3 linked regions of the Arabidopsis thaliana genome follow. The protein of the gene in region 3 purifies or fractionates together with the protein of the main gene of each other region. This does not show direct contact. Each region holds a gene or a part of one and is shown on either strand. Other genes may lie near its edges.

Evidence for each region.
Region 1: the proteins of AT2G17930 (region 3) and AT3G49830 fractionate together in Arabidopsis thaliana (co-fractionation; one large-scale study listed by BioGRID). This does not show direct contact.
Region 2: the proteins of AT2G17930 (region 3) and ATRPAC42 fractionate together in Arabidopsis thaliana (co-fractionation; one large-scale study listed by BioGRID). This does not show direct contact.

The regions. Positions count from the first base shown.
Region 1 is NC_003074.8:18,478,890-18,487,206, forward strand, and holds AT3G49830 (P-loop containing nucleoside triphosphate hydrolases superfamily protein), read left to right. Parts: upstream 1-3,359; 5' UTR 3,360-3,493; coding exon 3,494-4,245; intron 4,246-4,381; coding exon 4,382-5,051; 3' UTR 5,052-5,091; downstream 5,092-8,317. Other genes in the region: AT3G49820 (uncharacterized protein), read left to right, coding at 2,348-2,833; AT3G49840 (transmembrane protein (DUF2215)), read left to right, coding at 5,662-5,773, 5,938-6,151, 6,233-6,399, 6,470-6,615, 6,695-6,757, 6,829-6,921, 7,008-7,169, 7,265-7,445 and 1 more.
Region 2 is NC_003070.9:22,395,661-22,403,977, reverse strand, and holds ATRPAC42 (DNA-directed RNA polymerase family protein), read left to right. Parts: upstream 1-3,564; 5' UTR 3,565-3,693; exon of another isoform or gene 3,694-3,810; 5' UTR 3,811-3,822; coding exon 3,823-3,957; intron 3,958-4,258; coding exon 4,259-4,447; intron 4,448-4,529; coding exon 4,530-4,659; intron 4,660-4,746; coding exon 4,747-4,827; intron 4,828-4,918; coding exon 4,919-5,106; intron 5,107-5,204; coding exon 5,205-5,300; coding exon of another isoform or gene 5,301-5,390; exon of another isoform or gene 5,391-5,413; coding exon 5,414-5,507; intron 5,508-5,592; coding exon 5,593-5,709; intron 5,710-5,802; coding exon 5,803-5,900; 3' UTR 5,901-6,065; downstream 6,066-8,317. Other genes in the region: AGD2 (ARF-GAP domain 2), read left to right, coding at 216-341, 602-811, 895-981, 1,066-1,326, 1,549-1,673, 1,868-1,958, 2,097-2,542, 2,620-2,734.
Region 3 is NC_003071.7:7,798,873-7,807,189, forward strand, and holds the start of AT2G17930 (Phosphatidylinositol 3- and 4-kinase family protein with FAT domain-containing protein), read right to left. Parts: upstream 3,733-8,317; 5' UTR 3,359-3,732; coding exon 3,301-3,358; intron 3,104-3,300; coding exon 2,388-3,103; intron 2,225-2,387; coding exon 2,099-2,224; intron 2,001-2,098; coding exon 1,915-2,000; intron 1,743-1,914; coding exon 1,634-1,742; intron 1,376-1,633; coding exon 1,280-1,375; intron 1,161-1,279; coding exon 1,098-1,160; intron 1,016-1,097; coding exon 956-1,015; intron 520-955; coding exon 451-519; intron 82-450; coding exon 1-81. Other genes in the region: AT2G17940 (WEB family protein (DUF827)), read left to right, coding at 4,006-4,143, 4,455-4,943.

The sequences.
Region 1 (8,317 bases), on a different chromosome or scaffold from region 3:
ATGACGTTTTTTTTTTCTAGTCAAACTAAGATGATATACTAAAGTGGACCGGCAAGTGTTTAAATGTGATATGACTTGTTTTGTAATCAAGTTTTTTTAGCCTTTGGGATGATGGGAGATTGATAGTGATATTATAAAAATATAATAACAATAACTATATCAAAAAACAAAATTGATTTAACATATCATCTAAGTAGTAATACGGACCGAGTGCTAATGACTGGTGTGAGTGGTGGTGACTAGAGGTGGACCTACGAATAAAAGCGTAACCATTTCATGAAAACGAAGTGACGAAAATTCAACTACTGTGTGTCGTATTTTCGTTGTTGGGATCAACAGTTTTTAATACGTGTGTTGAATTTGTTCTTGTTTTATGTTTGTTGAGCTAGAAGGTTTCAAATTATGAAAGAATGAACTGACACTAACCAATTAAGTGGTGGTCTAGTGGTAGACGTCGACATTTCAAAAGAGGTAGGTATGATTTCTGATTCAAGTCTTGTTTGGGACAAGATGATTTACGCATGTCTGCATTGTATACTTACGTATAATATCAATCGCTGCAACATGTAATGGAGATCGAGACTACTAGCTCTTAATTTATGAGCTAAATATATAAAGAAACTGACTCTAATGACACTTAATCATGTAGATTCTTCGACTTGATGGGGATGAGTGGGCTCTAAAGACATGATGCACTGAGCAGTTCGTGATTTTGGAGAATGTGAGGAAAGGTAACTATAGGAATTGATCACTAATTCGATGGTATATCGGATTGGCAATGTAACACTCATAACTTTTGATGGTAGAGAGTTTGTGGATGTCAAATATCGTTCAACTATGAGAAATAACTTGACTTCTATAGTTCTATGAGAATACAGTGAAATAATGCCACTTTAGGTAATGAGGTTTTGTTGTGTCAATTTATAATGATGATGACTGCAACTAATACAATAGAAATACTCTTGTATCAACTTAAAATCGTTGCGGAAAAGGTTCAATTTGTGTCTAAACATATATGAGATCACATTGTTAATTGTATAGCAGATTCAAACATATGTTTTAAAGAAAATGAATTTACTGATATAGAAGGGACTAATAAAAGGCAAGAAAATTCGTAGGTCGATTATGGAAGATTAATGAAAAATAACAAACTAATTCAACAATAACATAGTTCTAATCAAATTGTTTTTTTCTTGCTTTGTCGTTATGACTTTATGCCATTTTATTCTACCATTTTTGTCTACGCTTTCGTCATTCTCGGTGTTACCAATCGAGCCCATGACATCGGTAAACATGAATACACTATAATGCATTGCCTACGCATATGTTTATCTTTAGTATTTTAGGCTTTAGCTCATTTATTTTAACGTTAAAGAAGTGTGAAACAATCTTTTAATAAATGCAAAAGTAGAAGCACGAAGGAATAAAAAAGGTATATACCGCATTCCTACGCGTATTCTATATGTTTGATTTTCTAGCCATTTTAGCTTTGGACTGTCACGTGAGTCGTGACGCTCTACCCCCTAAATCTATGTCTATAGTAGTATGTACATATCAGACACATGCATGAGGCACCTATATATTTGTAAATAAATTATACACTATATGACGTATGGATTCAATGATACCAAGAGTTTTTGCTTGTAACGCCCAAGATTTTCGAAACCTACAATCTAGGATCTAAATAGTGTACCTCCAGTTATAAATTATATTTGTCGCTCTAGATAAGTTAGAGTAATGGCCAAATCTCGATAACAATTTATTTGTGATCTCCTCACATGAATTTCTTTGGAACCAAATTAATCCCAAACGATAGGATTCAATAATCAGTTAAAGTTTTGTAGTATTCGATAGTGGGTTAGAGTAATGTAGTGATGCAAACAAGAGTGCTAATCTATTGGGTCTATACATTGGATCAAATTTAATATATGGGCCGAACTATCATACCAAGCGTCATGCTTTGAAGAAAGTAGTTGAACCAAGCCATTATACCCTTTTAACTACTAACTAACCCATCTCAAATATCCAGATTTAAATTGGTGTCCATATTATATGAAATAAGTTAAGACTGATTTGCCAACAAGGCAACAACACCTTAATAAATTTAAACATCTAACTGAAAGAAATGTATTTAATCATCCAACTAGGTACATTTAAGAATAGATCACATTCATAATTTTGTTATTATCATTTACAACAGTCATCATGGATTTGTCTTCTCTTTGATCCTGTCTTAGTGTCTTGAAATCTTTGAGCATTTCTTCTTCTTCGTCTCTTATAATATATTTAAAAGGTTATATATTTACATATATACAACTTTGATTTCGATACTCTTGAGAATCCAATAATGAAAGCGAAAGTCATAGAGAAAGAGAACTGCTTCGTATGGTTGGTTAAGGCTCCTTTTCGTCTGTTGATCATGGCACGTGACGCCTACATACGAAGCATTACGTCATGCTCCGGCGCCGGAATTTATTCCGGTGGTGGATCATCTGGTTTTGGTCAACTCTCCGGAAACTTCCAAATCTGCGATCCGCCTAGCACCGCCCTTCCTCGAAGCTTTACCTTGACGTCGGCGGCACATGATCAAGGCTGTCTGACACGTGGCGGACAACCTACGATTGCAATGAGACAATCATTGTCCTTGGATCATCGGAAGAACAATAGATGCGTTGTTGTGATGGGAAGAATAGATGAGGAGATGTCTTGTGATGATGATGATGAGTTTCAAGAAGAAGACTCTTTTCTTGATTATGGTAATTGCGAGATTCTTACAAAAGAAATAGAAAAACCATCTGTTGACCAAAAACATAAGCCTCTAGGACGATTTTGATTTTGATTTTTAGGTTTATTATTAGGTTGTTGCATTGTGCTTATTGAGAAATATGGATCAAACACTTGAAAAGAAAAATCATTTTGTATCATTTAATATTATTTCTTGTATTACTTATAATTGATGTTAAAAAAAATTACATACGATTCTAAAAGTGGTGATGCAAATAATTCACATTGTTTTGTTAACAACCAATGCAGTTCTACATGATTTTAATATCATGAGTAATTTCTAAAAACAAATTACAACAAAAATTAATTTCTTTTAACCACAATAACTTCACAAAATTACAAACATAAAATACAAATTCAAAACCACAAGCACAAAAAATAATAATTTAGAAAGTTTATCAATTACTATTTTTGCTGTAAGAAAAAAAGTTTCTCAATTTTATTTTTGTCTGCAATATCTTTACAGATTCCAAAACAAAACAAAAAAACTATCTTTTTATTTATATATATATATATATATATATATATATAAATGTAAACTTCCTCATAAGTAAATTAACAAGAATATATATCAAACAAAATCTTGTAATTTTTTAATATAAATAAAGCTAAACCTTTACGAAGAAGAAAGACTCTGGTGATTGATTCTCCAAAGTCTAAACCTAGTAAAAGCCAAGTCTCATTCCTCGGGTGAACTCAACAACCGACGATGGCAGAACTAAGGTTATCAGAAACTCGAGACTTAACTAGGATCGAAAGAATCGGAGCACACTCACACATACGAGGTTTAGGTCTCGACTCAGTACTCGAGCCACGAGCCGTATCCGAAGGAATGGTTGGTCAAATCAAAGCACGTAAAGCCGCCGGAGTAACCCTCGAGTTGATCAGAGACGGCAAAATCTCGGGTCGGGCTATACTTATAGCGGGTCAACCCGGAACGGGTAAAATCGCAATAGCAATGGGTATAGCAAAATCACTTGGACAAGAAACACCATTCACTATGATTGCAGGAAGTGAGATCTTTTCTTTAGAGATGTCAAAGACTGAAGCTTTAACTCAAGCTTTTCGTAAAGCTATTGGTGTTAGGATCAAAGAAGAGACTGACGTGATAGAAGGAGAAGTTGTGACGATTTCGATTGATAGACCTGCTTCTTCTGGTGGTTCTGTGAAGAAGACTGGGAAGATAACAATGAAGACGACTGATATGGAATCTAATTTTGATTTGGGATGGAAATTGATTGAGCCATTGGATAAGGAGAAAGTACAGAGTGGTGATGTTATTGTTTTGGATAGGTTTTGTGGGAAGATTACTAAGCTTGGAAGATCTTTTACGAGGTCTAGAGATTTTGATGTTATGGGTTCAAAGACTAAGTTTGTGCAGTGCCCTGAAGGTGAGCTTGAGAAGAGGAAGGAGGTTTTGCATTCTGTCACACTTCATGAGATTGATGTTATTAATAGCAGGTTTGTTTCTTGATCTTGTTCTGTATTTGTCAATTGCTTAGTTTTAGGTTTAGGTTAAAAAGATTGCTTCTTTTTCACGTATTGATGCTTTTTCAAGTTCTTATTTGGATTCTTGTTTTCTTTCTGTTGTTTGCAGGACTCAAGGGTATCTAGCCCTCTTCACAGGTGATACAGGCGAGATTCGTTCAGAAACCCGAGAGCAAAGCGATACTAAAGTGGCAGAGTGGAGAGAAGAAGGGAAAGCTGAAATAGTACCTGGTGTTCTCTTCATTGATGAAGTCCATATGCTTGATATCGAATGCTTCTCTTTCCTGAATAGAGCTCTCGAAAACGATATGTCACCAATCCTGGTCGTGGCTACAAACAGAGGAATGACAACAATCCGAGGAACAAACCAGATATCAGCACATGGGATCCCAATCGATTTTCTTGACCGTCTTCTTATTATCACAACACAGCCTTACACACAAGACGAGATCAGAAATATTTTAGAGATCCGTTGCCAAGAAGAGGATGTGGAGATGAACGAGGAAGCGAAACAGCTTCTGACTTTGATCGGATGTAATACCTCGCTTAGGTACGCGATTCATCTAATCAATGCAGCTGCCCTAGCTTGCCTGAAACGTAAAGGGAAAGTCGTAGAGATTCAGGACATTGAGAGAGTTTATAGATTGTTTTTAGACACCAAGAGATCGATGCAGTACTTGGTTGAGCATGAGAGCGAGTACTTGTTTAGCGTGCCTATAAAAAACACACAGGAGGCTACTGCAGGAGAAGAAACAGAACACGAGGCCATGGAAGTTTGAGAATTTTGTTTTATTGCTTTTTCAAGAACTTATTTTTTCACCCCATTTTGTCATGGACTCATGGGACATGGTTGAACAAAAGATGGAATTTTTCAAGTTTTCGAGTTCTCATTGAGAGATAGACAACGTTTTGTACTGTGTTTTTGACGGAGCGATAAGATGGTATGACAAAAAGGTAAGATTGTGGAGACGTTTGAAGGGTTAATTGGTAAGGCTACCTAAGTTCTCACCTAATGTTTGTATTCAATTGGCTGATTATGGTGGAAAGATGGCGGTTTTGTGGGTCGAACAATCTCCTTGTAGTAACAACGGCTATAAGAATAAGATTTGGTGCGCGGAGATTGCTCTTGAAAAACAAGAAAGTTGTGAAATTTGGGGAGAAGTTGAGTGGTTTGGTCATGTGCTTACAGTTCCTTCAACATGTTTTGTTGCCAAGGTTATTGCTGCTACTGTTTGATGATGAATGAATGTGTCACAAAGCTTAAATATGTTTTTTTTTGGTGTATGCAGATATGATGATGACATGGCTTAATTTTGTCTCTTTTATTTATGTGACTGCTTTTACTTTCGTACGATTTCTTCATCCAAAAAACAAAACCCAGAAAAATCGATGAGTGACTCATCATCAGTCATTGTCCGAAGCTCAAATTTCATTGTCGTGATTCTCTTCCTCAACCTCGTCACTTTCTTCTCCCTTGTCTCCTCCAATGAACTTGTCTTTGGTAAGTTTGTGTCGGAATTGAATTATACTTTTAGGGCTTTCTTCAATTCTTTATGGGACTCGAATTTTGTAGTTTAGAATCACCAAATTTCAAACCTTTTTTTACATAATTAAGACAATTGCGATGAATTATATAAAAAAAGATCCAATTTTGTTGTTTATTAGCAGCTGTGGGTGAAACTGGTTCACTACAAGTGACTCCAAGAACAGAGGTGATATATTCACCTGGTCTGAAACGAGGTATAACATCGATATGTGAGAGATTACATATCCATGGATTACAAAGAAGACTTGAGCACATTGATAGATATGCACATTCACTAAAGTTGACTCTTTTGAGTAATAATGCTTCCAACAGTATCGACGTTTGCTTCCACAGGTAAAATCTAGTATCTGTGTAATCTCTATGAATCAATCTAGTATCTGTGAAATCTTAAAGTTTACTTCTTTCTGATTATAGGAATTCGTCGCGTGCAATTGGAATGTGTCCTGATAATCAGTGGAAGAGAGTGTCCAAAGGGTTACCTTGGGTTGGGATAATGTCACCTTTTGACTATAAGATTCTTGATATAAGAACATTTGGTGGCTCATCTAATGTCAGCACCGTGGAGTTGGTTGCTAAACAAGGTAGAGTGCTTGTGTTGTTTTGTGTTTTGCAAAATTCTAAAACTAAACAAAGTAGAGTTTGTATTTGCAGAGTTTTTCATATACCGGATTGTGTTTTTAATCATGGGGATAGTGTTACTGAGTTTGGCTTCTAGACTTAGCAAATCAGTTGCGTTTTACTATATCGGTGCAATGTCTATTGGGATTGTCATTCTTGTAACTCTTATCATTAATCAGGTAAAAGTTTTCATAACGCTATCTTTTGTTATATGTTTCATGGTTTTTTCTCTGGTTAACGTGATAAACGGTTGTGCAGGGGATAAAGCGTCTACCAACTAGAGGGAAGAGTCGTTTTCAGTTATTTTTCTACTCGTCTATGGTGAGAGTTGTCTTCTCTTTGAGTTCTTTTGTCGAACATGTACTAACCAAAGCCTTCTTTTATATTCTCAGATTGGTGTGGGAGGTTACTTTCTTCAATACATACGCGGTTTAGTTCAAGATTTGCTAATGCAGATAGAAATCAGTGAAGATTTGTACATCCCTGTATGTAAGTTTTGGTACTTGTTGTTATGTCACATATTCATATTCTGGTTTGATTAATCTTAAACGGCTTATGTAAAATTTTGCAGCTGGCGATTCTTTTGGTTGTGTTTGTATTTATGTTGGGAGCGTGGTCAGGATTTTGGACTGTCAAGAAATTTGTTGTGACAAAAGATGGTTCTGTTGACATTAGTACATCAATCTTTGTCTCTTGGTCCATCCGAGCTTTTGCTGTGGCTCTGATCCTTCAGGTACTTCGTTTTTTCTCTGCTTTTGCTTCTGATTCATCTTTGATTATAACCAAACCTTTTGGTGATTGAAGTCTTGATCTTGTGTTAATTAACAGAGCTCTTTAGATCCATTACTTGCTGGAGGAGCGTTGATAACTGGAATTCTCATCTCATTGATTCTAAAGAGTATTAGCAGAAAGCTGTTAGCTCAAAGAATATATGAGCAAGATGATGAAACTGAGAGTTGTAGCCCCGGCTTGATCCATGCTACCTCGTTTGCTTCTCCTCTTCCTAGAGGTTTTGATTTTTTCTCTTTGTGTCTCTAGTGGTCTGATTTCTTTATACTAGTCCCTTTATCTCGTAATGTTGTTCTTGAAGAACCGGTTTTTCTTCTGTAAATGGTTTTTGCAGGTTCCAACAAGAAGTTGAGGACAGTACCATTATCTGAGTCAGATATCTTTCCTTCTTCATTCCACAAAACACCAGAAGGGAGAAGGAAGCTAACGAAGGAAGAGTTGCAAAAATTCACTAAAGAGAGCACGGAAAATGCATTGAAGGAATTGGTTTCTTCACCTGGTTTTGGCGAATGGGCGGTGAAAAATGCTAAAAGAATCACTGTAAATCCGATAAAGGAATCGTCAAGTAAATAGGGTGATACTGTTAAGCGCAGAAGAAGGTTCCTCTGGTTCTGAAAAGCAAGCAGCTAGGGGAACTTCTGAACCAGTCGGAGAGTGTAGTAGGTTGCTTGTGAACAAAGCAACAAGCCTTGCTTATATATAGTCTTCTGGAAAAGAACTAATGAGCAAGGCGAAAAAGTTGAGAGATTAACTTCTAAATCAACAAAATGTAACCTTTGACATAAATTGATATTGACCAATAAGATCATACGTTTCCATGTGTGTAGTCATCAATGATGTGAAACTCAATACTATAGTGTATTTTATTTGAATGGACGATGATAGTTGGTATAATAAAGGAGGAAATAAATAAAGTCATCTTTTTGTTATTTAACGGCTGAAATTTCAATAGCAATTTAATTTGAATGATTCCAGTTCCACAAATATGAGTTGGTCATCTATATCACATGTAAGTTTTCTTAGTTATATTTAAAAATCATTAAAATCTAAGAGTAGTCCTTGGAGAGAACATGTCTCTTGTCTCCTAAACCT
Region 2 (8,317 bases), on a different chromosome or scaffold from region 3:
AAGTTAAAGTAATAGTGTCAATATTTGAGTTGCGCTCGCAAAGAATATTTCTGGCTTCAAGACTTGGGCCTTCTGTTATTAGATATAATACTGCTTTACAACCATGTAGACATTGAGATTTATGATGACTCATTTGGTGATTAGCTATACACTTCACTGCTTCAGTTCTTGTCCAGGCTAATGTCTTACTTATTTTGTCTTGTGTACTAATGCAGGTAACTAAACAAGGGTATCTATTAAAGCGATCAGCTAGTTTGAGAGCTGATTGGAAAAGGAGATTCTTTGTGCTTGACAACCATGGATCCCTATACTATTACAGAAACACCGGTAATAAATCAGCGGTATGTTTGCCAAGCTCCTTTTCACTTCCTCGTTTCCATGAAAGAGATCCATAAGCTCTTTGAGACTTGGTTATAGTTCAATTTCCAATGTCCAATTTCGTACATTTTTATAGTTATGTAGATATACTAGCACTCCCTCATGTCTTGGCTATATTTATATTTGTTGACTGTTAAACAAATCTCTCTCACCTGTGTATTCTTTTATTTTAAGTTTCACTTTCTCAGTTTCTATCCTTCTAATCATCTTTTTCTATTTATAGAAATCTCAGCATTACTACAGTGGTTTAGGAGAGCATAGTAGCGGCGTCTTTGGGAGATTTCGTACAAGACACAATCGATCAGCTTCACAGGGAAGCCTAGATTGCAATATGATCGATCTCCGTACTTCACTGATAAAATTGGACGCAGAGGACACAGATCTTCGACTCTGTTTTAGAATTATATCTCCTCAAAAGACTTACACACTACAGGTACTAAATTTATTAGATATAGAAACGTGAAGGAGCAAATATAGCATCAAGAGGCCAACACAATTTATTTCTATATGCTACAGGCTGAAAATGGAGCTGATAGGATGGATTGGGTAAATAAGATCACAGCAGCTATAACAATACGTCTGAATTCTCATTTTCTGCAGCAGGTTTACTCAATATGAGTCTCATACTTTTCTTTTACCTTCAAATTGAAAATTTTGTGTTGTTATAGAATCTAATATCTTCTGCAGTCACCAGCAAGATACTTGGATAAAAAGAATACTAGTTCTGGTCCTGCCACTGAAAACCTCACCCTGAATCAAAAAGAAGATTATAATCAAAGACTAAATGTGGGGGATGACGTCCTTACAATACTCAGAGAAATTCCTGGAAATAACACTTGTGCAGAATGCAATGCACCTGACCCCGATTGGGCATCATTGAATCTTGGAGTTTTGATGTGCATTGAATGCTCTGGTGTTCACAGGAATCTCGGCGTTCATATATCCAAGGTAAATTTCTTCATTTTGGTACGATATTGCGTAGCTTCTTTCCATTTAGTTCGAGGTTGTATAAGCTCATTTGTTGTAAAGCTAACCATGTGCTATATATCTTTGCATCAACCAAAATTTGCAGAGCTCAATTTTTTAAGATGAAGTGTTTATATTTCTTGCTGAATTAAACATCTGTGTATGAAGCTTAGATATTTAGCTAATGTCAAAGAATGTCTGCAGGTGAGATCGCTCACATTGGATGTGAAAGTATGGGAGCCTACAATCTTGGACTTATTTCGGAACTTAGGCAACGGATACTGTAATTCAGTCTGGGAGGAGCTACTTCATCACCTTGACGATGACAGGTATAATTTCTCAAGGAAAATTAGATTGTTTATATAAGTAAAGACTGTCTCTATAACACAATCAAGAAATAACATTCCTTGAATCAAAATCATCTGTTCCTCTTTTACAAGTTTCTATTTTCCCAATTGTGTAAAATCATGAGATTGGTGATCTTTACTTTCCTATGATCCTATCTTCTGTTGAATATTTACAGTGAAAAGGGATCGACAGACACACTTGCATCAGTTTCGAAACCATCTTCAGAAGATTGGTTTACTCTGAAGGAGAAATATATTAACGGAAAGGTATGAGATTTAGTTCTTAAAGTTTTCGCATACATAGACCTCAGATTCATGTCACTTGACGCATCATCCAAATGAGCATATTCTTGTGAATAGAAAAGGCTTATGATACTAAAGCTGATAATGTTTATGCCTAGCTAGTACCTGGAGAAAGCACTAGTTGTCAAAGATGAAAGAGAAGCAAATTCTACTGCCTCAAGTAGAATATGGGAAGCGGTTCAAAGCAGGAACATAAGAGACATCTACCGACTCATTGTAAAAGCAGATGCAAATATCATCAATACCAAGTTCGATGATATTACTGACCTTGATGTATATCACCACCACCATGTTGATGCACCAGATGAAGTAAAGAAAAGGCACGATCCAAATGCGTGTCAGAGAATCAAGAATTCGAACGAAGCAAGAAACTGTCTTCAAGGCTGCTCATTGTTGCATGTGGCGTGTCAAAGCGGTGACCCAATCTTGCTTGAACTGCTGTTGCAGTTCGGGGCTGACATAAACATGAGAGATTACCACGGACGAACTCCATTACACCATTGCATCGCATCAGGGAACAACGCATTTGCAAAGGTTTTGCTGAGAAGGTAACACACTAACTAATAAATCTCATGAGGGGCACTTTGAGTAGATACTTAGTGTCTCTCTTCTTTGAATTTGACAGAGGTGCTCGTCCATCAATAGAGGATGGTGGAGGATTAAGTGTGTTGGAAAGGGCAATGGAGATGGGAGCCATAACCGATGAAGAGCTCTTCCTTCTATTAGCAGAGTGTCAGTAAATTACCAATATACCATTTGCTGATTGATTGCTACGCAAAGGAATGTAACTTGTAACTGTTGTAGTATTTGGTCATGACTTGCTCATCGCATTGATGCTCCAATATTTACCTAATTCCCGAAGGAGATAGAACTCTAGGAAATGTCAAGATTCCGACCTACTGTATTAGCCTTTGTAATGTTATACATAAGATGATCTCAAAGATTCTAAGCCTGCACCTCAAAGTTTTTTTTTCTTCTTCTGTATTTGATATCCGAGATACAAATATGTGTTTTGTAGCCGGAAACTTTATTATAGACAACATTCTCATTGCCCAACAAAAATTTGATGAAGTAAGTGTCGTGTTTTCTTCTATTATTTTGCTCTAAATTAAGTAGTGCTATTGCCACATTCTTAGATACTAACGTAGAAGAGTCCCATCGACATTTTTTTTTTGACCAATATTAATTAGAGTTCAAAAAAGCCTATCATTCACAGTAGATGCCAAAAACAAAAGGAGTCATTCCTAGAATTGTTGTTTACATATGTTTTTAGTTTATATTCTTAGCTTAACCAATATGCTGCGAATTGATTGCAGAAAAGTTTTTTTTTTTTTTTTAAATTAAACAATTCACCGAAAAAGAATAAATTCTTATTATTGTTTTTTGCTATAAAACAAAATCATGAGCAAAAGAAAGTATTCATCTTGTGGAATAAATTTTTATTTTTTAAAGTAATGGCTTTATTTTTAGTGTTAAACAGTATTCTTTTGAAATGTAAAAAAAGAAGAAGTATTCTTTTGAAATGAATTTTTTATTGTTTCTTTTGGTAATAATGCGTTTTAATTCGAACCGGAAAGAGTTAAGGGATTAAATAAAACCGGCGGCTTTTTCAAAACCCTTCACCGTTTGTTCTTCATCTCCTCGCCGCCGCCTCCTACTCTCTCTTTCTCTCTAAATTGCTCAATTCTCTCGGCCACAGGTAAGCTTCTTCGACTTCACTCTTTGACCCAATACTACTTTCCTCACCCCCTGTGGTTTCCTTTGTTAAACCCTTCAATTCTCTTTCTCAATTTGATAAACCCTAGTTCTGCTATAGACCTAGACAAGGATGGTGACTAAAGCAGAAAAACAATTCGCCAAAAATTTCAACATAGACGATCTCCCTGACGTCCCTGCCGGACTTCCTCCACATCTCAAAGCCCAGCAAACTCGTGTCGTCTCTAAAAACAACGCTCCTGCTCATGTAAGAACTATTCTCGTTCAAAGTTACAATCTTTTATGCTCTGTTTTGTTGGTTATAAGCTTATCTAATTACAAATTTTATAGCTTTTCTCAATGATCCCATGTGGGTTTGAGTTCTATCGTTGCTGTGTTCATGATACAGAGTAAAAGTTTTGTTTTTTCCTGTGAAAAGCTGTGAATTTACGAGTTTGGCTCTTAAGTGTTTTACCAGAATACACCTTTTGTTTTCAAATTCAAGATGATATTGAGTAGTGATTGTTTGAAATTTGAAGTCTTTAATCTTGTGTTTGTGTTTTCTGTAGACTGCGAGTGCCATTTACTCGGGTACCTATGTTTCTTCTACGGAAGAGGACGACAATGTGAAGCTAGGAAACTTCTATGATAACTTCAAAGTTGATGTGGTTAGTCTCACAAAGACAGATATGGAATTTGATATGATTGGTATTGATGCAGCGTTTGCCAATGCATTCCGAAGGATCCTTATAGCTGAGGTCTGTCAAGTTTTCATACAACCTCTGATGAATCCCTCATTGTTGTAATCTTTGGCTTAAAGTGCTTCTTTCTTTATTGCAGGTTCCTTCAATGGCTATTGAAAAAGTGTTGATAGCGTACAACACATCGGTTATTATAGACGAAGTTCTTGCTCACAGGATGGGTCTTATTCCAATTGCCGCAGATCCAAGACTTTTTGAATATTTATCCGGTAAGCATATATTTCAGTGGTATGTGATCCATCTACATATGATGATAATTCTTCTGATTAGCTTACTTCTTTATCTGTGTATGATAGAACATGATCAGGCGAATGAAAAGAACACCATTGTATTCAAACTCCATGTGAAATGTCCGAAAAATAGACCACGTCTTAAAGGTAATATATGTTCATTAGTTAGCATCAGAAGATTTCTTGTTTTATTATCAGCTCCATCTCTCATGAAAGATATCATTTCGTTTTCTTGTAGTTTTAACGAGTGATTTAAAATGGTTACCAAATGGAAGTGAGCTTCTGAGAGAATCGGAAAATAAAACCTCAAAGCCAAAAACTTACACTTCATTCAGTTGCAGCCAAGATTCATTACCTGAATTTGCTAATAATCCTATCACTCCATGCGACCTCGATATCTTGATAGCAAAACTCGCCCCTGGTCAGGTAGTGTTTCTGTACATTCTTTTTATATACACCCAAGCAGACCATACTTGCAATGAGAGATGAAACATGTGCATCTTCTTTTATCTCTTTTTTCCCAGGAAATCGAGCTCGAAGCTCATGCGGTTAAGGGCATTGGTAAAACACATGCAAAGTGGTCTCCAGTAGGGACTGCTTGGTATAGAATGCATCCTGAGGTGAGAAGTATATACATCAATCTATCATATGCTTTATGGGAAACAGCTCTTTGTTTTGTCTTTCCTCATCCCAATATATATGTTTCGTAATGCTTTTGTTTATACTATCTTAGGTGGTTCTACGTGGGGAAGTTGAGGATGAACTTGCTGAACGACTTGTAAACGTCTGCCCACAGAATGTTTTCGACATTGAAGACATGGGAAAAGGTGAAGTATAAAATCTTATGCAAGCTGATGAACTTGGCTGCATGACTTACTTAAATTTGATTTCATACTGACTTGTGGAAAACAGGTAAGAAAAGGGCAACAGTAGCGCAGCCACGTAAGTGCACATTGTGTAAGGAATGCGTAAGAGACGATGATTTGGTAGACCATGTGGATCTTGGCAGTGTTAAGAACCATTTTATATGTAAGAAGAGAAAAATAAAACCCATTCCTTTTACTCTGCTACTCATGATCTGAAAGATATCGTAATTGAGTTTCTTGTCGTCTTTTTTCTCAGTTAACATTGAGTCCACCGGATCACTGCCTCCAGAGGTTCTCTTCACTGAAGCTGTGAAGATATTGGAAGCTAAATGTGAAGCTATAACCGACTTTTGAGTTCTGGTTTAGTTCAATTTTGAATTGTCTGTCTATCAATGTTTCTCCTCCTATTGATAAATTACCAACAAACAACATTGACATATTTATTTATACGGTTGTTGTTCAATTTGGATTTTCATTAGCCTTCTGAGTTCTGATTCATAACAAAATTCCTAGCTGAACCAATTTTGGAAATCTGCTTCGGTTTAATTTGGTTTTACTATTCTACCACTAGAACACTGACGCCATTCCTTACATTGTGCCAATCAAGGTGTGTGTTGGTAATAGTAGTTTTTGGTTTCATTGAACACTTAAAATAGCGTCAGTGGTAGAATAGATCCCTGCCACATTAGATTATACAAAATGTTCTCATTAAATATGAACTATGAGAGTTTATGTATAAATAACTGAAGAAGTAACATTTAAACAAGTAGCACCAGTGGTCTAGTGGTAGAATAGTACTCTGCCACGGTACAGACCCGGGTTCGATTCCCGGCTGGTGCAATAGAGCTGTGATGAAATCGGTTTCTGTAAAGGTTGGGTCCTTTGCATTTCTCCAGTTTATCTGGTGATATGGCCTCTTAACTGAGCTCTTTCTTTTTCTATTTTTTCTTTACCTTTTTAAGTTTTCTAATTAGAAGACATCAGTACATAAACAGTTGATTATGCTAATAGTAAGACTGATTATGATAAGGGAATATAAACAAAGTTCGACAATGTGGTTGTGAATTTTATAACGAACATGTTTTACAATATATCACAAGACTCACATGTTTTATTGGTTATTAGTGGATCTTTACAACATAACCACAAATAGGGGTGCTGAGTTTTTGAAAGAGTTTAGAAGTTTTGACCAAACAATTTTAAGTTCTTCGGATTCAATTACCAAATGTCAAAATACTCGTCTAACTATGATTTACAAGTAAATACCACTATTACAAGAAGTTTTTTTTTTTTTTTTTTTTTTTTTTTTTTTTTAACAAGAAGTTTAAGCTATGCATGGTAACATATTAATTTATTAGTATATAAAAAAAAATAATTCCAGGTTACAAAATAAAACAAAAGTATCTTACAATAATTAAATTTTGACGGTATGACGATATACAATATCACATCAATAATAATAAAAAAATTCATAGTTTATAGAAAATGGTTTAGACATATCATATCATACATATATTCTTAACCCGAATCCGGATGTTGTTCACGACGATAACGCGTAGCAATTTCACAACCACGATGGTAAAGGTTGACTGGAAATTTGACACATTCTTTGGGGGCTTTTACTGCCGCAAGCTGGAATTCTGTCTTTTATCATATCTTTATAGTTTATATATTTGCTTCCTTCTCCTAATCCGCTGAACAATGATAATATAATCAATTACTGAAACAAAGAAAAGACGGGTAAGACTCTTTTTATGACCAGCCATTGTTAAAAAAAACAATGTTTTTGAATCTTTTTGATCTTTTTCTTTGACACTATATTTTGTAAATTGAATTGGTAATTATTAGTTTGTGTATCTTTGAATTATAACAAGAGAAAGTATTTCTAAATACAGAAGACCAGTGCATAATGTGTGTGCAAGAGTTTAGTGGTTATTTTAATTCTTCCTTTCCCCACACCATTCGTCCATAACTCCGTATTCTTCTTCATTGTTCTAAAGAGAAAACAAGAAACGTTTAACGGTTTAAGCACTTTAAACGAGTACATTGATAATAAAGCTTGCATGATTCTCTTACACAACATACACATACTTACTTACTACTTTCTTACACACTTACACACACAAGCATGCTTTTAAACACATAACTAACTCTAGACTCTTGCAAGCCACTCTACTACTTACATATTCTTGCATACTACTCTCCTTAAGATAGAACCATAGTTGGGCTTAACCAAGTAGCCCAACGTCTCCTTAAGACAAAACAGTAAGCCCGATCTCCTTTGTTGACTTGTGTCTTCCTCCTCTTAATCGTTGACTCCTCTCTTCACGTCTCCAACGTGTCTTCGTCTTTGCTTCTGCTCTGTTCTTCTTTTGCTTTGCTTCTCATCTTCATCACACTGATTCATCTTTTCTTGTTGCAGGTTTGAGCACAGGCTCAAACGCTAACAGTTACTTTGTTTGTTGAATTCATAGTTTACTAGTCCATGTAGCTTAGTGTGTTGGATCAATACATGATCATATCAATATTTAAAACGTTAAGGTTTTTGTTAACGTGAAGGCTTTGTTTTTGTTCGTCCTCAAGGTTGTAATCAGATTTGCTTCTTTGTTCTCCTCATTAAGAATTTCATGCTTAGATACTGTAACTGGTTTCCTTAGATTTCATCGCAGGTTTTTGTAGTTCAGACATAGATCTATTGCCATAAGGCTTACTTGATTGATTGTCTGTTTAATTTACTTTATAGTTTGTTTACAAATCGTTGGCCTTTCACT
Region 3 (8,317 bases):
CATGACCAGTGTCTTGATCAGATTCTTACAATCATTCACTTCTTTGGAATGTTCAACAGGAACCTGCAAATTCAAAACTGCCTGCAACCAGTGTGGTCTAGCAATAAATAAAACTTCTAGATAATCCATTTGTCGAACAAAAGAAAATTTATGAAGTTATCAATAAGACTGCATAATGCTTCATCAGGAGACAAAAAGCCTAGTATAAAATCTAAGAATCCAGCTTGGAATTACAATACCACCTATATTCCAACTTAAAGCAAAAGTGGAATGTCCATGTAACGGTGTAAGATAATATGAGAGCTTTTAATAAGCAATTGAGTTTGAATATAAACATGTGCAAGACGATCACACATTGGCTGATAATTCGTATTACTGATAATTCGTATTACTCACTAAAACAGAGAAAGAAAGAAAAAAAAGTAATCACTGATGAGCGACACAAATTACCTGGACAGGAAGTTCAAGCTTCGACCTCAAAGTGACCCGATCCTTTCCCACCTCACCCTCCTCCAAAAGCTACGAATCGCAAAGCAAGAATAGGTAAAACATCAAAAATATAATGGAGTTGAGAAATGAATTAGCTGAAGGCTCAAGATGCCTTTTTATTAACCTCTTAGCACATAATTTAAAGGTAACATAAAAATAAAGAAATGACATATCAAGCAAGAATACTTTTTGCAGCTATTCTCAAAGACCATCTGAAAACTGAAAGTTATAGCAAGAAAGCAAATGCATCTTGCAAACTGCCCCTGAAGATCAAGTGATCACCTCAATAATAAATACACATCTTTCCCAATCTCAAACACTAGAAGGAAAGAGACCAAATTAATAGCAGCATAACTTGGTTTTGAAACTTAACAAACAGTAAATCATCAGTAATAGAAGAAAACAAAGCCAAAAAAAATTGAACTCTTGATCACAACATCCGATTTTGAACAGCAACCAGCATTACCTGAGGAATAGTACGCTTGAAAGTACTGAATTTCCCCACAAAGGCATCCAGGATACGTCCCTATTTACAGGTGCAACATGAGGTAAGTTAATGGACAGAGAAGCCAATCAATTCTAAAATGAACTCTCCAGTGAATTTCTACCAGTAAAATCCGTGCTTCATCCATTGACTGCTGATCAACACCTTTCTCAAATATTGGTTCTACCTGTATCAAACACAAGTTTTGATTGAAGCTTAATTCAGAAAAAATAAATAAACTATATCCCTGTTTAAAGCAGTTTATCGAATTAAACAAGACAAGCACGGTAGAGAATATAGAATTACCAGATTCAGCATCAGTCGGGCACATGTTGTATGAATGCTAAGAGAGAGGGTAGAGTCGTGCATGTTTCTTGAAAATAGGTAGATAATCCGTGATAACTGTGACGTTGTTTATAGTTAATCAGAGGAATGTAAAGGAAATGCACTCATTAAGCTCGACAAAAAATAAGGGGAAAAAAAAATGACGTCAAAAAGGAAAGCCTAATGATGCAAAGAAAATTGATCAATATGTTACATTCCTAAAATTTTCCACACACAGTGCAATTGCGTATTGTAATGAAGTATTTTCACTTATAATGAATCCAGGCTATCACAATCAACGTTTAATACTGTTTAAAGTTCTGCATCAGTAAAAACCTGTGCGAGAGAAAGATCTCCGCGAACATGGTGAACAATCTCCGCGAGTAGGCTGTAAGCCAAAGGCCTCAAAGACTCAAAACATGCTCGCCCAGTTCCAACTAGAACCCTAACACAGAAGACAAAGAAGAATACCTGAAAAAAGTCAATACTTGTTTATAGATACTTCAACTAGATAAACTATATGCGGACAAAAGCTGTGCTTGATTTAACCAAACATCTCCTTTAGAAATATGAAAATTTTCGAAATTTTCGAATTTCAGATGCCTTAAGCCTCATACCTCTCATCTAAAAGAGTGTCAATCAGAGGAAATAAGCCTCTCTTGAAATCCGTCCCAAGCACATGCTTTAATGAGACTAAGAGTTCCTGCATTTTATGTAATGAAAAGTAAATCTTTAGCTGCACTCCCTTAACTGTGTCACCAGAGAAAACATACTGACGAAAAGGACCATAAGGTTTTCCACCTTTCTGATAGAAGCAGAATCTGAACACGTCACAAGCAAATTTACAATGCTTTTGCATATGCTTTCTTCATGCGGACGGATATATTCGGCGCAACTTTTTAGCAAATAAGTCAAAAAAGAAACCGTCTGCAAATGATCCGAAAACAAAAGTCAATATATCATGTCATCTCCCAGTTACAAACAATATAATTCAGATCAAACAATGAGTCGGTGTAGGCCTTGATATAATAATATTTCCAACAATGTAGAAAGCTTTGGTTCCCTTCCTTACGAAGAAACATTGTCTCACCTTAACCTGTGCACCTTTTAACTCTATGAACTGAGGCTTCAAATGTGAAGGGACATTCTCAGGTCCAGGGACAGATATAGCAGCAACCATCAGTGGAAGTAAATGAGGAATGTTGGTCTGAACGAGTCGGCTATACAGCTGGAAAAGGAACATAACAACAAGGGGGCTCTCTGTGATTATCTTGAATGACCGAGTACTCGGATTAAGCTGCACATTCCCGATAGGTGGGGTAGGGGTAAGGGACTGATCAGAAGACGTAGGCATCTCCATAGGCTTCACTTCTTCCATTTTAACATTATCGAAAAAATGGCTGACAGTGAATCTGAAAATCGAATAGATTTTGCAGACAAAGTCTAAAAACGGTTGAACCTCGTTTTCTAGCGTGGGCCTAAAATTCCTAAGAAGGTCAAAGATTATCCGAATGCAAATCAAACCGTTTTCTTCATTATCTGCGGTGAGCACCTGCATTGCAACCTTCAAGAGGTCCTGAACAAAGGGACGAAGAACCTCACTGTGTGGAAGACGATTGAGGATCTCAACCACAATGTTCCGCAGTTTGTGCTCCGGATTATCGATAAATTGCGGTTTAGTAATCTGTAGAAGAATAACTGAGAATGCTGGGAAGTAGCATTTTAAGAAATTCAAGTACTCTGCCGTATGTGCTATCTCTAGACTGTCCCTGACCTCCACCACCATCTCAAGCCTTGTTGGAATAGCTACACAAAACAATTTCAAAACAGATAAATTAACAAAAAAAACAAAAGAATTTTTGATTTCACAGTTAAAACTAAAACAAGAACTGAGTCGAAGTCAGACTATAATTCATACGAGAATCATGAAAATTCTCTCAAAATTCAAAATCAAAGGAAGCTGATTTGAGTTATATAGAGAGTGAAATCAATAGAGAAATTACGTAGGTCAAGATCCACGAGACGACGGGAGTGTTGCTCGAAATTCTGAATTGGACTCATGGTGAACAAAGAGCTGAGCGAAATAATTTACACGGCGGAGCTCTTTCGCCGATCACCGACGCGACGATCTCTAAACGCACCGTACAAGTGCCAGACTAGGTCAAAACAAGTGGAATTTTAGCGAAGGTTTTTTACAAAAGCTACTAAACTAGAGACAATTCTGGAGAGTTTCCCAGAATCGTTTGAACAAAGACTAACGAATTAGAGGAGGAAGACTATGGAAGATGATGCTTCTCTAAGCAATTTTCCCTCTCATTTTTGTTTCTCTGTGACGACTCTCTTTGAATAGTGAGTTCTGTGAACTCCGAGAGGATTCACGGGCGAGATCGCCGACTTGTACCGCCCAGTTTTATTGTTTCCTTAATGGGCCAAAATTTTCGGCCCAATATAATTTCAAGAGGCCTGTGTGCATTTTATTTTATTTTAGGAGAGGTGTTGTTATCAAGATGGTCACATTTAGCTAACGAATATTAATTAGACAGGAGCAAAAGCCATCATTATAATTTTTATTAACCAAATTCAAGTGTAGTGAACGCCAAGAATCTAACACCCTCCAAATTACTGTATAAGACACAAAAAGTAACACTAATTCTTGTGTGATGTAATATTGATGGAAGGTATACGCATAATTAATTAAGCAGATAGTAATGGAGAGAGGAAACGTTTGGAGAAGTGGTCGAGCGGAGATAGAGACAAAAGCAGCGTTTGGGTCGGTGAAAGAAGCGGTGGCCATGTTCGGAGAGAAAGTTTTAGCCGGAGAGATCTATGCAACTAGGCTTAGAGAGGTAACAATGTTCTATATTATCACAACGAAAATAAACAATGTTCAATACTTCAATATCATCACAAAGATTACTATTTTGAAATAATATTTTATATATACATAATATATACTGTATATATAAACTAATTAATATGTCAGATATATTTGTAACCATTTTCTATTGACTAGATATACAACACAACCAAATGAAAAAAAAAAAATATGTACACATACATTTATAGTTTTGAATGGGCATTGTATATATGAATAAATTGATACGTTCCGGCTCGTATAGTTTTTACTTTTTACATCACATGTCTTTGACGGTTTCAGATACGGACAAAGGAAACAAATTCAACTCCGAGTTCTCTATCAAGACTACCATCTCTAACACTCGAGCTTGAGCAGACAAAACAAACACTGACAAGAACACTACAACTAAACACCAGCCTCTCCAACAGAATCAAAACTCTAACACAAGAACTCGAACTTGGTAAGAAGGAGATACAACGGCTCAGCAGGACGAGGTCGAGTCGCCTAGACAATCCGGAGATTGAGGAACTCAAGTTCGTGGAACAGCATCAAACGATGACGTCTAATGATTTTGAAGAAGAGGTTGTGACGACGGAGGAGTTGGAAAAGAGGAGACTAGTGACATTCGCGAGCTCGCCTTTGCTGACACGTGTGATGTCAAGTGTCGGGGACGAAGAGGAGAGAAACAAGAAAGAGAAGGATTTTGAGAGAGATTGTTCGGTCAAGAAGACAAAATTAAAGAAGGGTTTTGCTCCGTTCATGGGATGGTTTAGAGCAACCCGTGGATGAGATTGATCTATATATCTCCAATAATGCGGTCATATTGATTATTATGATTTTAGATCGTTATATAATATAGTTAATGTGCATGATGCTATATATCAATCTCGTTCTAAGAGTTTGATGAATAATACTTACGTTAAAAATGAGTCTTGCATCTTGCAATGATCTAAGCTTGGTTCTTTACAATAATCTCTATAGATAAAAGTTTTACTTGTTATCACATTGAACATACTTTTGCGATTTTTATGTAGGTGTCGTCTCTAATCTTCAATTCTTGGGTTGTTGTACAGTCTTTATGATGTTAGGTTTATGTTTGCATCTAAAATTGAAACTCGGAGAAAGTAGAACGTGAGATATATATGATTTCAGAGCAAAATAAATAGATTTGTTACAAAATTAAAGTGTTGTGAATCCGACCATATACTAATTAAGCAACATGTTTCTCAACAAAAAAAAAAGTATTTTATGATATAAAGTAGCCGCACAGCGATTTCATATCGCTCTCTACCACAATAATTCAGTTTTAATTATAGAAAAAATAAAAAGTCTATTCATACAATTTTGGATTATCATCTAGTTCACCGTAATATTCACAAAACGGATATAAATTTGTATATAGGAACATTAAAAAAAATCAGCCAACAAAAAATGGCAAATGGACCAAACTGATCCAAACAAGTCTTTTAGGAAAATTTTCACATAAAGGGAATCATAGACCATGATGCTACACAAGCCTCACATCTTTGCTTCTTATAGGAATAACGTACTTTGAATCCTCAAAAAGCATCTAAAGATCTTCTCGGATCCGCAGAAAAAAACTCATATGTATATCCACTTGTAATATATATACATCACAAGTAAGTAACTCGTTAAGACACATCACTACATATGTCAGTGATCTAGACCATATGATAGGAACATATATACGTTCAAATACTTTATTCAAACAATTGGTAACTTGATTCATTCTCTCTCTCTCTCTCTCTCTGGGTTCAAAATGAAGGTGGGCAATTTGGTCAAGATATAGATGTGTAATTTGGTTATGTTTGAAGAATTTAAAAGCCTATTCGATTTTGAGATCTCCTTGATGTAGACTCCTTATTCTTCTTAAGGGTTTGGTTTCATGGTCTATATAAAGAGGGACTGATCACGTAAGCTTATCATAGAAAGAAAGAAATCAATTAGAGACGTCAAAGAAAATGAATTAGTAACATTGAGTTGGTATCTTGACCAGTTGAATCCTGACTATCCGAGATCAGTATTTGCAAAGAAAAAAGTAGAATCAAAATTGCGGAAAGAGGTTTACTAATTGTGATTTTCTGTCAAAAAAATACGGTAAAGCTAAAGCTCAGTATTGGTTTACCAAATCAAGAATTATTCTGTTCAAATGATCAGAGTTAAGGTACCTTAATACATGAAAAAAAAACAATATTGTTTTCACTCAATTACCCATTATAAAAATCATGTTAAATAATAGAAAATTTATTGTTATGCTTAATTATATTCCGTCGGTTAAAACAATATATGAATAAATAAAAATCATAGTCTAAATTTTTGAATTTAAACATTTAATCTTTTTTTTATAGATTTTAGTTAAATTATTTACGTTTTGGATATGTATTGTTTGAAACAGTTTTGTTTAATATAGTTTTATGTTTGGTGTTATATATATATATATATATATATATATATATATATATATATAATATACATTTTCAAAATGTTAGAAAAAAACTATTTTCCGTTTTCAAAACGTTTTGCTTCAACATTTTCGTTTCCATGCAAAATAGGTATACAGCTTATGTTCCTAAGAAAATTGATGTTTAGGAATTTTCACACAAATTTTACAAACAATTAATATTTAGTTATAAATACATTATTTTCACAAAATTATTATAAACCAATAACCATTCATAAATTCAATTTTCAATGATAATTTTTAAAATTTACAAATTATTAACATTAAATAGTTAAATATATAGAAAAATTAATATTTGTGGAACAAGAAAAATCCCCAAAATATCAGCTTTTTAGGGACGGATATAATATTATTTAGTCTCAAAAACATAACAGATTTGGTCCATAAGCAAATTAGTTTGTTCCATCCGCTAAACCACAAAAACCTAAATAAATCATGTTTATTTTAATTTTGTTGAAATATAAGAATATAAAAACGTAAATATTATAGAACAAGAAAAATTCTAGAATATTTATTTTATATGTGATCAAGAATAGTATTATTTAGGCTTTGGAAAAATATTGTGGATAAAGCGAAATAAACCGTTAGCGGACTAAACACCTTATTTTTGAGAAGACAATAAATAACAGTAGAGCAAGTATATTTATACGTAAGAGCGCTCCATATTTAATCCACTGTGAATATATTTTAATATTTTTAATCTTTTTTTTCCCCTCAAAGTTTCTTTTCATTAGTACGAAGGTCTGAAACATACATAAGCTTAATCAGTAGACTTTCTACTTACAAGTAGAAGACTATCACTGATACATAACAACTTAATATTTTTAATCTACGCATTACTGTAAATTAATAATGGTAAAATGGAAAATCTTAATTATAAATGGATTTGGCCGAAAACACATCAGTTCGTTTTATCTGCTAAACCACTTAAATTTTCATTTTTTCAAAATATAAATATAGACATGTAGTTTGTTGGTATTCGTGTTTGGACAAAACTTGGATAATAGAGAAACTTGGATAACAAGAGAAGGAACAACATATAACGAGGCAATCCAAAGAAAAACATATCTAGTTAATACTCCATGATTAAAGTTTTCAATGTAACAATTATGAGCGTAGTTTACGAGGAAGAAAGGGTTCAAACTACAAAAAATGTACTCTTTAAAACATGGATGCACAAATGTCCCTAACTGCCACATTCATGTTTTTTTAACATACAGTATTATATTATTTTTTAATTTTTTTTTGTTAAAATGATTCTTAATACACAATTCACAATAAAACAGATTGTATAGTATAATGTACAAGATTTATAAGCAAATATAACCCATATAATTTATTTATGAGTATGTAACATATTTTTAAAAAAATTCTATCAAAAGCTACGGTCATTGAACAAGATCTATGTGACATAGATCAACTAACAAAAAAAACATTTTTCTTCCTTGTGTCATTTTAGTTCACGTGGCTCGAGGATAGCTCTTTGTAAAAGATCTCTCTGTTTAAGGAAATACTGAATGACACGCACTCTCACAACGCGTGAGCCACCTTGACGTAATTCATAGCACTAAAGAAGAACTTATAACTAATCATATATGTACTTAATTGTATCCAAAGATTACAAAGGGACATTAGTGTTACTACAAACTAATTTTAGATATAAGTGTTAAAAATAAAAAAT